2 linked regions of the Ovis aries genome follow. The protein of the gene in region 1 interacts with the protein of each later gene in a biochemical or structural test. Links are inferred from orthologs where the notes say so. Each region holds a gene or a part of one and is shown in the gene's direction. Other genes may lie near its edges.

The links. The genes of interacting proteins can lie anywhere in the genome.
Region 2: the proteins of CUL3 (region 1) and KCTD17 form a complex in vitro, tested with the Homo sapiens proteins (3 studies listed by BioGRID). The link is inferred for Ovis aries from reciprocal best matches to the Homo sapiens genes CUL3 and KCTD17.

Annotation. Positions count from the first base shown.
Region 1 is NC_056055.1:226,665,146-226,672,216, reverse strand, and holds part of CUL3 (cullin-3), read left to right. Parts: intron 1-2,137; coding exon 2,138-2,366; intron 2,367-6,251; coding exon 6,252-6,397; intron 6,398-7,071. UniProt on the Homo sapiens protein: Core component of multiple cullin-RING-based BCR (BTB-CUL3-RBX1) E3 ubiquitin-protein ligase complexes which mediate the ubiquitination and subsequent proteasomal degradation of target proteins.
Region 2 is NC_056056.1:181,100,143-181,107,665, forward strand, and holds the start of KCTD17 (BTB/POZ domain-containing protein KCTD17), read left to right. Parts: upstream 1-2,970; 5' UTR 2,971-2,987; coding exon 2,988-3,161; intron 3,162-4,349; coding exon 4,350-4,458; intron 4,459-6,765; coding exon 6,766-6,857; intron 6,858-7,523. UniProt on the Homo sapiens protein: Substrate-adapter for CUL3-RING ubiquitin ligase complexes which mediates the ubiquitination and subsequent proteasomal degradation of TCHP, a protein involved in ciliogenesis down-regulation.

The DNA of each region.
Region 1 (7,071 bases):
CGTGCCTCTCTGCCAAAAAACAAAACATAAAACAGAAACAGTGTTGTTAACGAATTTAATTAAACCTTTAAAAATGGTCCCCATCCAAAAAAAAAAATCTTTAACAAATTTTATGTTTATATGTTTATAATACATATAAACTAAGGAATAACCTTACGTTTTATAATATTTATATGTTACTGTAATTTGCCATAAATTCACAGGCAGTACATCACCAATGAAGTCTCATTATTCAGGCTTTTGGTAATTTACTAGTAAATATAGATTAGATAATAGGTATGATCCCATAGTGCATATATTTGTCTTAAAATCTATTGATGAGGAAATTATAAGATACAAATTTGCAGCTGTATCTACAACCCCAAACCAACTGAAAAAAGTAAGGATAAACTAGTACTGATTTGTAATGAAATAACAGTGACTGAGTACCATGACACACGAGACAGTCCTTACAGAGTCATGGTAATTGGTTATTCTTCCTGAAAGCCTCAACCATCTGAGCAGTTTGTAGTAGGAGCTTTGTAGTACTGCTGAAGTAGACTCAGTTAAAACTTTACTGTTCAATTTCAGTAATAAGCTTTTTAAAAATAAGCAGAAAGTTACAGTTACTCTACAGTAGGTCATTTTTAAGAGCCATTCAGTTCAGTTCAGTTCAGTGGCTCAGTCGTGTCCGACTCTGCGACCCCATGAATCACAGCACGCTAGGCCTCCTTATTCATCACCATCTCCCAGAGTTCACCCAGACTCACGTCCATCAAGTCAGTGATGCCATCCAGCCATCTCATCCTTTGTCGTCCCCTTCTCCTCCTGCCCCCCAGCCCCTCCCAGCATTAAGAGCCATTGGATGTATATAAATGTGGGACTCCTGAAATTTTGCTGTCACTTACAATAAACAAAAAAACATACTTGCACACTGCTGCCCACATCACCCTACCACCATCCCCGCCACGGTTTTTAAAAATCAGTTTGTAACCTATCAGGAAGATTTTTATGGCCTGTACTGGTGAGCCTGAACCATGCTTTATGAAATACTAATTTTGTGATGTAGGAAACAGTCTTTATTTCCTAATAATGCAACAACTAGTTCTGGATATTTTTGACAGTGTTTTTACATTTGCATTTGTTTTAATTTCTTTCATTACAGTGTAGAAATAAAGTTGAAAATTGTTAAGTCGCTCAGTCGTGTCCGACTCTTTGCGACCCCATGGACTGTAGCCTACCAGGCTCCTCCGTCCATGGGATTCTCCAGGCAAGAATGCTGGAGTGGGTTGCCATTTCCTTCTCCAGGGGATCTTCCCAACCCAGGGATTGAACCCAGGTCTTCTGTATTAGAGGCAGACGCTTTAACCTCTGAGTTTCCAAAATATATTACAGTGATATATGTATTAATGTAATAGTGAAGTGGTTGTCTCACCATGATTTTTGTTTGGTGTGATAATGTGTATTCTTAAAAACTTTAATTATTTCAAACTACTTTTTATTAAGAGAATGGAAAATGCTATTAAATTTGTATATCATTTATATTAACATGTCTAATATTATATAATTCTTAGGTATATTTGTTAATTTTACTATGAGGTTAAAGTTAGTAGGGTCAGCATTTAAAACTTACTGAGATTTCTCTGTAAGACTGGTATTAGCAGACATGATTAATAGTTATTGAAAAGCTCTTTCTCAGACTTTATATACATTCCTTTGAGAGTGGGAATAGGGTGGCAGGAGGACTTTAGTAACTTCCAGTATGCCAGCAAAACTGTGTGATAAATAGGATGAATCTTTTTAAGGCATAATTTTACATTAAAACAAAGAAGAATTTTTCACTCTCACTTGGGGTCAGATGCTTCATTCTGTAGTTTCAACTTTTACTGGCATGTGCTTGCTTTTTCTGCTATTCGGAATACACTGGCAAAGTTTGAAAAATGCTACTTAAGGATAATGTATTAATTTAGTTGTATGTAATGCTTTAAAGGATATCATGCTTATGATAGGAGTATATATAGACAGTGTATAAAATGTTAATAGTGCTTGGGATATTTAGTTTGGTTTATGAGAAACACTGTAGAAACCCAGTTGAAAGCAGAAGCACATTTTGCTGCTTTGTTTAAAAAAGAAAAAAAATCATGCTTTTTGTTTGCAGATGGAAAGCCAGAAATTTCTAGCAGAAAACAGTGCTTCAGTATATATAAAGAAAGTAGAAGCTAGAATTAATGAAGAAATAGAACGAGTGATGCACTGCCTTGACAAATCAACCGAAGAGCCGATTGTAAAGGTGGTTGAGAGGGAACTCATTTCCAAGCACATGAAAACTATAGTAGAAATGGAGAATTCGGGGCTAGTACATATGTTGAAAAATGGCAAGACAGAAGGTAAGTGTTAGCAATTGAAAAACAATTGAATTCTTGTAGGTCTGCCAGGTTCTCGGTTTTTTGGTTGTTTTTTTTTTTTTTTTTTTCTATTGAAGATTATGAATATCAGTTTTTAAGAAGTCATTACTTTTGATTACTTTATCACTGTTGGTACTTTGATAGAATTTTACAGTAAAGCTTTACACTTAAGGTTTCTAGATGTTGCTAGTGAATTGAATAGCTACTTTTTTCTCTCTTTAGTCTCCTCACTTTGTGTTTTTCTTAACCCAGAAGATGAGCCTGATAATGTTCATGAGGCCGGTGAGCTCCTGACCTGCTCCTTACTTTATTTTTATATGCCAGAGCATTTAGACTCTTTTTTTCATCCACACTCTCCACAGTCTGAAGTTCCAGTCTTAAATTTTTGTATGCATTCCTTTGGGGAGTTGGTTGTGATAAGGGTACCAAAATGCAAAAATTTACATGTCTTGCATGTCAGCGTGTTTAGAGGAACTCATAAGTTATAGACTGAAAAAGGAGAAAGGAGTATTGTTTACAAGTAAACATTTTGGAGATAACTAACATTTACTCTCTTTTTGACTATTTACCTTATTTTTCTAAAGTGATACTTTTTGATGAATACCCTGGGACAAATTATGAAAAACAGTCATGTCCTCATTCTTAATTTCTGAAGCTTTGCATTAAAACTATGACTTGCTAAGTCACTGATACAGTATTAAAAGGGCTTCCTAGGTAGTGCTAATGGTAAAGAATCTGCCTGCCAGTGCAGGGCACGCAAGAGATGTGGATTCAGTCCCGGCGTCAGGGAAGATCCCATGGACAGAGGATCCTGGTGGACTGTCTGTGGGGTTGGAAAGAGTCAGACACGACTGAGCAGATGAGCACACAGAGCACATGGTATTAAAAAGTAAATCTGGTGCTGGGTGAAGTCTTAGCGACATTTTAGCCACATACTTATAAAAGAAATACATACTATGACTTATGACCCTACCTTGACTCCCTACATAGAGAGTGAAACAGTTTTTTAAGTTAATAATTTAAAAGAGAAGGGAAAAGAAAGATGGTGGGAAGAGAGGTTGTTCTATTCTTCCTCTAGTGGAATCTTTGCCTTGTATTTTTAGATGATTATGTTTCTATATACGTTTTAAGTTCCAGAAAAGTTGTATGTAAATTTGTTGTCTTTATTAAGCAGAGAAGTTACTTTTTAAAACACCCTCCGATGAAGTTTTTCTGTAAAAGCAAAACAAAAGTCATTTTAAAGGATATTTTCCAAAATAAGCTACTCCTGGATGCCCATTGTCAAAGTCAGGGATTGGCAAAATTTTTTTTCTAAAAGAAATATTTTAGGGGTGTGGACCATTCAGTAAACTACCCATCTCTGCTATAATAGAAAGTAGGCATAGACAGTAACATAAATGAATAAACTTGTATTCCTATAAAACTTCGATTTTTATTTTTAACCATTTAAAATGTGAAAAGCATTCTTATTTTGTGAACTGTATAGTAACAAGCAGTGGCCTGTACTTGTTCCATGGGCTATAGTTTGATGACCCCAATCTTAATGATCTCTGGCAGATTAGGACTTTATGAAAAGCAATTTTCCTTACTTAAACAGGATGAGAATCAATTTTCTAATATATTGTTTAGTTACTGAGTTAATGCTTTCTTCTTATTCATGTTTGGTGGGGGTGGCTAAGAGTGGGGAGATTAAATGGGTTTGAAGATTAAGAGGCTAGGAAATGTTTGATGGAGAGATTATTGAGCACACCTGAATTATAGTATCTGTAGCCTGCATGGAGACTTGTGTTAAAGGCTATTAAGTATATCTTAACACATGGCAACTGCTTAATAAGTACCTAAATGATAGAGTATCAGAATAGCTACTTACCATAGTTTCTATTTAGTGCTTAATGTTCTCAGCAAGTAAGCAGCTCTCTGTGATGCTAAATTAAATTTAAAAATCATGTCTTCAGTTTTCCTGGCTACTAGAAACCTAATTGCAAAATGTCTTCATTATGCTAGGACCTGCTCTTGAACAGTATGTCAAGAATATGTCAGAGATGGAACTTCACCATTATGAAGCCAAATGTCTTATAGATCAGAAAGTGAAAGGTTTTTTTCCCACCATGAGTGGAGGATTAGTTGGATTGATAATGAAATGCATATGGTGCTATGAAATTAAGTTCAGATAGTATCATTTTATTGTTTCAGTATAAACAAATAATATTTAATTGCTTGCCACATAATTTTTCTTCTCTTTCACTTTCTCCACTATGCCATCCATTTATTTACAGTGGATTATATATAAGAAATTTTATTAGTTTATATACAGTTAAATATACAACATGTAAACAAAACTATAACAGCATAGGAACAAAGAAGACAAAATTGGAAACTATTTTGTTAGAGGTATTTGATAACAAAAGCTTACTATAGTACATATCCATAAATTTCTGTTGCATTTGTAATATTTATTTTTAACATGGGCAACTTGGTTATAATTTATACCAAATGTGAGAAACTATAAGATTTGCTCTGTGTAGATTATTTTGGACATATATTGTTGATGAGAATACTTTGTCCAAAAACTTGGCTTTTGAAAGTCATTGAAACAAATTTTGAAGCCCTTTTTATAAAAGTTGCATCCATGTATTTTTAGGATCTAAATTGCTCTTATAAATACAGACAAGGTGGGCAAATTATAGCCTGTCTGTCAGATCTGGCCCACTACCAGTTAGGCTGGAAAGAAAGTCAAAAGAGTAATATTTCGTTACACATGAAAATTATATAAGTTTTAGATCTCAGTGTCTATAAATCAAGTTTCATTGGAGTACAGTCATGACCATTCGTTTATGTGTTAGCCATGGCTTCTTTCTGGCTACAGTGGCAACATTTGAGTAGTTGGAACAAAAACCATATATGATCCATGGTTTAAAACATTTACTGTCTGATGCTTTACAGAAAACAGCCCCTGATCTAGAAAGTGCTGTTCTAACTCCATTTTTAAAAGTTCTCAGTTATAAAACCTTTTTTTATATTATTGTAAAGTTTTGACATTGTACTCTTCCAGTAAGTTCTTATTTCAGAGATGCGTTAGACATACGGGAAAGCAGTATCTTAACTCCACCTTTTATTTCTGTAAAAGGCAGTTTAGAGTTTTCATTCTAAATAAAAACAATGTAGTGAGATAAGCCAGTTTTTCAAATACAGATATTGGCTTAGATCATCTCCTGAAAAATATTAGGGATTGCTCCAAGGAAAATACTAAAACATAGGAGTTTATACTGTAAGTTTCACATGAATTTTACCATGGTGTGTAATGAAATTTATTTCTTGCCACTATTGGCATTGAACTTTTGAGATAGACATGCTTCAAAATATCTGTAAGACTTCTTGGTTTTTAAAGTTCTACTTTATTACATTAACTGTCAGTTAAACCACATTTATTTTTTTAATTGGACATACCAAACTTAAAGTTATTCTTTTGATAGTTGTTTTGTTGTATTACTAGTTTCTAAATTAGAATTATATTGGATAAATTACATAGGGACCCAAAAGTTCAGTTTTCCTTTTTTGTGACTTTGTTTCTTATGCTATTTGGACATCTCTTCCATGCAAACCAAAACTTGCTGCAACCATTTATTGATGCTTAGTATCTCATCTGTATGATATATTTTGTAAGTTGCAGTAACAACCATTAACTAGCTTCCCCCATCCCACCCCTGTTTTGTTGGAGTTTTGGTTTTTAGTAGTTTTTTTAATGTGGTCATCAAATTATCATAATGGAGCTTCTTTAAATATCACAAATCAGCATGAGCAGATATTCAGGGTTTTTTTTTTCTTAATCTTTAATGTGGCCAATTTGTGTGTTCGTTCTGATTGCAGACCTTGCTTGCATGTACAAGTTGTTTAGTCGTGTGCCAAATGGTTTGAAAACGATGTGTGAGTGTATGAGTTCCTATTTGAGGGAACAAGGTAAAGCCCTTGTTTCTGAGGAAGGAGAAGGAAAGAATCCCGTAGACTATATCCAGGTAAGTAAATACGGAAGATTCTCTTTATCATAAAGTAATTTTGTCATGCTAAAAAGATCACTTTTACAAAGTGATGTGGTATGTATTTTGACTGAATTGTTCCAGTGGTAGGTTAATATGGGTAATTATTGTAAATATTTCAGGAATTTTGGAAAGCACGTATGTTTATATCAGGGAGCCAAACTCAGCCACTTCTTTTTATGTATTAGCTTATCTGATGAAGACCTTATTTAAATAGTGTCAAGAATGAAAGTTCGTTCTTCTTCTTTGTATGCCTTAGTGTTTATATACCCTCATGTATTAGGAAAAATAATGTTTTAGTGACTTTTTGTTTCAAGATATTTTGCTTTCAAACAGTACTACGAATATATTATGCTCTCAAAATTTTCATGTTTTAGTATCAGCAGTCAGCTTTTTCTGTGTGTGTTTTTAAAGCTGATTTTCTCAGGCACACCCATTCAGTCAAGATAGAGGAAGGTAGGGAGAAACGGTGAAAAGGATCTTTGTTTCACCTTCAGTAGAGTAATACATAAGTGGAAGATAGAATACTTCTCTCACCACTGATGTTTTTAATACAGGCTTAGATATAGGCTTGAAAATAACAACGTAGAATCTGTAAGTTTAACACTGAATGCACACATTTATTACTAGCAAAGTCAAAAATAAATGTGTAG
Region 2 (7,523 bases), on another chromosome or scaffold:
CATTTGCCCCTCTAGGCCAGGACCAGAGCTGGGACTTTGTTGCTGCGAGGCCTTTTCTCCAGCTGTGGAGAGCAGGGGCTACTCTCCAGTTGCGGTGCATGGGCGTCTCATTCTGATGGCTTCTCTTGTTGCGGAGCACAGGTTCTACGGTGCATGGGCTTCAGCAGTTGCGGCTCCAGGGCTCTAGAGCACAGGCTCAGCAGTTGCAGGGCACAGGCTTAGCTGCTCTGCGGCATGTGGGATCCTCCCAGACCAGGGGTCAAACCCATGCCTCCTGCATTGGCAGGGGAATTCTGTACCACTGAGCCACCAGGAAAGCCCTTCCTTCCTTCCTTCTTTCTTTCTAATATCAGTTTTATTGTGAAATAATTCAATGTAGTAAGGAATTTCACCTCACCGAAAGAGAGATCTGAATTTTGTCCCATGACATGCCTCTTTTGTCTAAAAGCTCTACGCTGTCCGCGTGTGCAGCATGGTCTGTGCTCCTCGCAGGGGAGAGGCAACCCCTGATGGGTCAGGGCTGGCGGCCCAAGAAATCTGGGGTCTGCTCCACATTTGCTGAGTGACCCTGTGCAAGTTATTCTCTGCCTCCAGGCCTCGGCTCTGTCACACCTGCAGGGGCAGGTTGGTTCAGGCGAGCCGTGGGTTGCCACAGCTCCAGGACGCTACAGCTCCACTTTCTCAGCTTTCATTCCTCCTGTGAACTTGTCCATGCAAACTGGCCCCTTCTTGGTCTCTGGAGTATGGCTCTGGCTCCTCGCCCTCCAGACTTTGTCCCGTCCTCTTCATTCACTGGGGCCACCACATGAGAGGGCCTTCCTGGGTCTCTAGCTCTGGGACTTTTCAGGTTTTCTTTGAAGGGGTCTCCTCCCTGCTCTAGGCTCAGGCCAGCCCACCAGGCCTCTCCAGCCTAAGCTGCTCCGCTCAGTATCACACCTGCAGGACAATGGTCTCTCGCCCCACAGGCACTGGAGATACAGGCTCCAAACTGACCTCATCACCCCTGATGCCTCCCCAGACCATCTTCTCCTGCTTCAGGGAAACACTGCTGGTTCAAGCCAGAAGCCAGGGTTGTCAGCATGGCCCCTCCTCCTTCCTCTTTCTCCTTCCTTCTCCTTTCTTCCCACAGCCCCTTCAAGCTTCATTTCAGTTTCCCAAGTATCCACTAAAGCCTACTCCCGGTTGACGCTGCCTTGGTTGGGGCTTCCCTACCCCTCATCTAGGAGCCCTCCTGGCTGGTCTCTCAGGGCTCTGAGGCGTCTCCTCTGCAGTCTCCAGAGTGGCCCAAGTTACACATTGACCACATTACTCCCTGCCTATGACCCTTAAGTGGAAGAAGACATATTCCCTGCTTTGGTTTTGTTTCAGCTGACGATGGTGGAGGACTCACCTAGCGCTTGGAGTGCTGCCTGGAGTGCTGCCTGGAGTGCTGCTGTTCATCCAAGGCCAGTTCATAACTTATATCCTGTTTCATTCATTCATGTATTCAGTATACTACAAGCCATGGATTATGCCAGCTGTTTTACCAACATAATCGAATCTTCATGACAGTGTTCTTCAGTGACACTTCCCACTTCGCAAAAGGAAAAATTGAGATTCAGAAAGGAGGTGGCTCAAGATCACACTCGAATTTGTGTTTAAGAGAACACACATTCCCAGGAGCAGGAGTCTAGCAGCTGTGATCCACTCCCTGCCAAGGGGAAAGGTTTACGGAGACAGAACCTGAGGGATAATAGAACCTTCCCCTCCTCACCCCACCACAGGGCCAGGCTGCCCAGTGAGTGTGGCCTGAGTGTGTGACACAGAGATCACTGACTGAAATAGTGAGAAGGAAAGGAAGTTAAAGAAGACAGCTTTCAGGAATTCTCTGGTGGTCCAGTGGTTAGGACTTGGTGCTTTCACTGCCAAGGGCTTGGATTCAATTCCTGGTCAGGGAACTAAGATCCCACGAGCTACATGAAATAAATAAAGGAGGGTGACTTCCCTTCTGCTCCTTTCTCTCCCAGGACCCAAACCACATGAGGAGCTGTCCCCTTCCCACATCCTGCAGAACCCACAATAGCAGCAACCCACCCCCACCCCCGCCAAGTTATCTGGCTCAGAAGTACATCCACAGAACCAATCCCTCCTCCCCTTCCCGAATTACAGATGAGTAAACTGAGAGTCTCCCAGCACTTCATCCTACAAAAGCCAGAATGAAAACCTAGCTCTCCAGACATTCATCCGGTACCCTCTCCACTCTTCCTCCCTAGAAATGTTTCCCACGGAGCAGGAAACGGGCCTTGGTGGTGGAAATGCACTTGAAACCCACCTGGGCTCCTGCCAGCCTGACCCTCACTAGCTGTGTGAATGCAGAAAGTCACTTTGCTTCTGTGTCCTCTTATGTAAAATGGGTACAGTAACGCCAACTTCACAGGGCTACTGAGAGCATCAATGAATAATACAGATGCATAAAGCATCTGGAATATAGAAGGTGCTGAGCCAACTGTAAGCCCAGCTCTGTTGTCCTCAAAGAGAGTTTTCGTGGGGAAAGAGCACGGCTCCCTTCTTCCCCAGCCCCCGCCAGCCAAAAGCAGAATGAAAGAATATTAGAAAACAGATACAGGTAAATGCTGCTATAAAATTGGGAGAGGGAAAAGTTCCTTCTCTTGTCAGTTGTTTGATAACCCAGACTGGACAAAGGGAAAGCAATGTGGAGGCAGAACGGGAGGATTGCTGATTCGGGGTATCCCTCATCATTTTCCCAGTGACCTCGAATTTGACCTTCCCCGAACACAGAGCACTTTGGCCAAGAGCATCTTTAAGAGACCCTCGTTTGTAGACCTCCCAGAAAGGACAAAGTAGGGCGGGGCTAGGGAAAGGCAAGATCCTCACTCCCGCCGCATCCGCCCTTGGCGGCTGGGACTACAGCTCCCGGCATGCCCGGCGCTCGGTACCTGCCCACCTCCAGCCTCCTTGCCCGGAGGATGCAGACGCTGGGAAGAGCGATGAGGATGGAGGCCGGTGAGGCAGCGCCGCCGGCGGGGGCGGGCGGCTGGGGCAAGTGGGTGCGGCTCAACGTGGGGGGCACGGTGTTCCTGACCACCAGGCAGACGCTGTGCCGCGAGCAGAAGTCCTTCCTCAGCCGCCTGTGCCAGGGGGAAGAGCTGCAGTCCGACCGGGTGAGGCCCACGGGGTGGGCGGCCGTTGGGGATCCCCGCTCGCTGGAATCTGGCTATTCAGCCAGGCCTGCTCGCGGGGCTGGAAACCCGGCTGGGTTTCTTTCCGAAGAGCTGGAGGCAAGAAGAACTGGTCGAAGGAGGGGAGAAGGAAGTGGATCAGAGAGTGAGGATGTGCCCATTGCCTTGGCAACAGGACAACGCCAGGCTGGGGCCATTTGGAGCTTTTGAGCTCTACCCTAGGCTCCCCACCAAGGAGACTATTGGATAAGGTCTCTCCCATTTCTTTGGCGCTGTGGGGAGGACAGACACGAAGGGACTTCCCTCCTGCCCAAACTGGACTCCTGCATCACAGGAGATAGAGTCTGCTTCTCCCTGCCCTTTGGGGTGTGGGTGGCCTAGGGGTACAGGGAGCTGGGTGGAGAAATCCCAGGTTCCTTCTGAGCTGGGCTTCATGGGGAGGAATGCTGGCCTGGGGCACCATTTCTGGGTTCCCATCTCAGTTCTGCTGCAAACTGCCTGCATGACCTTGGGTCAGATCCTTCCCTGCTCCAGCTCAGCCTCCTGTCTGTAGCCCCAGGGGGCTGGCCTGCGATGACCTCTAAGGCCCCTTCTCTCCCATTTCCTGACCTGATGCTGTGACCTTGGGTGAGTCTCTTTACCTGGTGATGTCCCTGTCTTCTCTCTGTAGAGTTGCACTGAAACTCTCTCAAGCCTCCCTGCCCGGTATCCAATGAGGGTATCCAATGAGATAGCAGCTCCTTTGGAAACTTGTAAACATCCGCAGAATAACTGGGGTCTGCTGGAGACCGTGTAGGGCTGGCTTCAGGAAATAACCTCTAAGAGGGATGATCCCTGAGCCCTACACTGGCCTGGGTGCCACTGAAACTTCACTGGCTGCTCACAATTCTCCCCGGTTGTGGGGGAGAGGAGCAAGGCTCAGAGAGGTCAAGTCACTGACCCGAGGTCACAGAGTCAGGAAAAGGCAGAGGCAGGATCTGAACCTAGCTGTATCTGACCCGAAGGTCCTTTTACTCCATCACACCACTCCGTTTTGGAGCGAACACTGCATTCCCCCGCCCCCACCCTCCCTCTGTCCTTTACTGGGACTGAAGGGTGGGGGTATGTGCAGGGTCAGCAGGGAAGAGGGGCTCACTCTTTTCTCACTGCCTGTGCCCCTTGCCTTTGTAGGATGAGACAGGGGCCTACCTCATTGACCGCGACCCCACCTACTTTGGGCCCATCCTCAACTTCCTCCGGCATGGCAAGCTGGTGCTAGACAAGGACATGGCTGAGGAGGGTAAGTTGGTCCAGGGGGCTGGCCAGGACCTGCGTCCTACGCCTGTCTTCTCTAGCCTGCCAGGGCCTTCCATGGTGGTCCAAAGCCATTTCTCCCATCCAGAGGAGACCTCTGTTTTCTTCCATGTTTCCTGCTTCTTCTCGTTCCAGACAGGACTGGATGCCAAAGCCTCTGCCCAGGCTGAGCCTAGGGCCAAGGTGACTGGCCCACGCTTCCACTGGGTGCTTCTACTGGGTGGTGCTTCTGGGGAAGTGGCAGAAACATAGGCAGAAGAGAGAGGAAGCCCGTGAGGCCTGTAGCCTCCGCCGGAGGCAAGGGATGTCCTTTCCCCTGGCTTGCTGGGAAGCCAGTGGTGAGCCCGGTGGGGGTAGAAATGGCCACGGGAAGAGGTATGCTTCTTTCTTTGAGTGATCGGGTATCTCAGATGCCTGGTGAGGGCTCACAGTCAGCAGGGAGGTGGAACGGGTGGCTCTTCCCGAGCTCTGACAGCCTCTGCTGCACAGTGCTGGTTGTGGGTGGAGGAAGGGGAGTGGGGAGGCTGCTCCCCAGCGGGCGTGTGGTCCCTCCCAGGCCAGGTAGCTGAGGCCCTGTAAATGTCCACTTCCTGGCCCAGCAGATGGCAGGGAAGCCATGCCTGGGAGAATGGCTTCTTGGCAGAACTGCAGCCTGGAGCAGGGACTATAGGTGGGTGCCAAGCCCACTTTTCCTTAGAGCACAGGGTGTGGCTTTGGGTCAGCTGACCCAGCCAGGCCAGCTTGGACTTGTCACTTTTCCTTTCTGAGTCTCTACTGTGTGTATAAAGTGGGGCGGCGATCTCCATTAGGGATGTGTTCTGGGAAAACAGACATCGCAAATCCCAGGGCTTGTACCCTGAAGGAATCTAACACAGCCCCTCCCTCCTCACTCAGGCCACAGTCTTCCCTCCTGACCCCTATGGGACACAGTAGTCTAGAGGCCAGGTGGCTCTCCAGAGGACCAGGGCTTCAGAATCAGAGCCCACTCTAGGCATCGGCTCCGGGAGCCCCACAGCTTTCCTGGTGGCCCCTGGGAGAGCAGACACCATGGGCGTGGCCTGGGCCCAAAAGCCGCTCCCACGGGGAAGGGAGCTAAACACTCCAGCGTCACAGCTAACACCTGTTTACAGGTTCTGGATTTGTCAAAGCCCTGGCATTCCCAGCACCTTCAGACAGGACTAGGGCCCTGCTCCAAGGGGCCAGGGGCTTTGGCAGGAAACTGACTAGTGTGTGAACCCTAGAAAGTCACTTATCCCCTTGTGCCTCCATGCCTGCATCTGTGGAATGGGGTAACAATAGCACCCACCTTGCTGAGCTGCTGTGAAGATAAAAGGGGCGGATACAAGTGTGTCGCTTAGTGCCACGCCTGGCACCAAGGACCCGTGATACAGAGTTTGCTGTCTGTCATCTGTAGGGCCCCACGGGGGGCATTCCTGGCAGTAGCACGCACTGACCACCTCCTCTGTGTTAGGTGGATGTGAGCACTGGGGACAGCCAGGGACATCAGATGTGGGTCCTGTCCCGCAGGAGCCCAGAGGCCCGTTGTGCAAAGGACCTGCCCTGAGGAGCTGAGGGGGGTCCAAAGGCTGAGGGCTGTCCCCCTCACCAGAGAGGCACTCGCTCAGTCTCTAAGATGGCTCCCTTACCTGCGTGGGGACAAGCACGCCCTGGGGCTTGTGATGAGCACGGGACAGGCTCTGCAGACTGTGAAGTGTGGTTGGTCAGTGCACAAAGATCATGCACTTAGTGGGATTGGAGGGCAGAGGCACTTGAGTGGGAACCCCAGCTCTGCCCCATGCTGGGTGTGAGGTGTTGCACAGCTACTGCCTTGCCTGGCCCTTGGCTTCCCTGTTTGCTCGGTGGGGGTGATGAGAGTATCTACTTCTCGTGCTGAGAATGAACTACAGTAAAGAGTGCAACCTGCCTGGCGTGGTGCCTGCTGCTTAGCACGTGCTTCATCAGTGGGAGCATGTAATCAGGGGTCAGCCAAGGCCCCTCTCACTGTGGCCTTCTAGGGTCCAGTCCCATGGGCCTGCTGCCTCTGGTTAGCCCCAGACGGGGGGACTGGTAGGTGTCCCAGGTCGCTGTGCTCAGCACACCAGGGAGATGGTGCCTCTTAGCCCTGCTATAGAGAGTGTGAGTCCCCAAGAAGGGAGTGTTCCCTCTTGCCTGACCCCTGAACTCAGAGAGGCTCGTCACCCTAGTGTGATGAGCAGGGGGTGGGGATGGAGGGGACAAGGCGAGAATGGGGCATGGGGGCAGTGGGAGTGATGTGGGTGCTGCTCTGTGTCAGGGGTCCTGGAGGAAGCGGAATTCTACAACATTGGCCCGCTGATCCGCATCATCAAAGACCGGATGGAGGAAAAGGATTACACCGTCACACAGGTCAGGGGGCAGCGGGGCAGCATCCATGGCCAGAGCAGGGGGTGGTGGGGAGTGGGGAGAAGGGAGGTCAGGAGAGACAGAACTAGGTTTTCTTGGGAAGGCCGAGCTGCCCTGTAAGGGGTTGTCCAGCTCCCAGATCGCCCCGCAAAGCCCCAGACTGGGAGACATGTATCAGGTTCTGTCCTTGCCTTGGCTCTGCTGTGTGACCTTGGGCCAGTCACTTCACTCTCTGGATCCTGATTTCCTTTTGGGGCATATAGAGGTACTGAGAACTGCCCACCCTTCCCTTCCTCACAGGCAATATGGAGTCAGTATGAGGGTACAGGGGTCCTTGTAGGGGCAATGGGGATTAGTACACCATCCATTTCATGGGCTCAAGTGGCCCCCTGGAGCTGGCATGTCTGAGCTTGGACCCTGGACCTAAGTGGCCAGTCTGCAGGAGGAGCTGGTGGACTTCTCTGCCCACCCTGGGGGAGAGGTAGAAGATGAGAGATGGGTAGGGAGGCACTGTCTTCCACTGTCCTTCTCTCCCCAGGAGCTTGAAGAGGGGGTGCTCTGTCTCCTGGAGGACCTGCCTCAGTTAGTGGCCCAGGATGCCTCCTAAGCCCTTCTTCCTTACCCCTTGTATCACCTGTGTCCCAATTCTGGTCCTGCAACTCTTTAGCT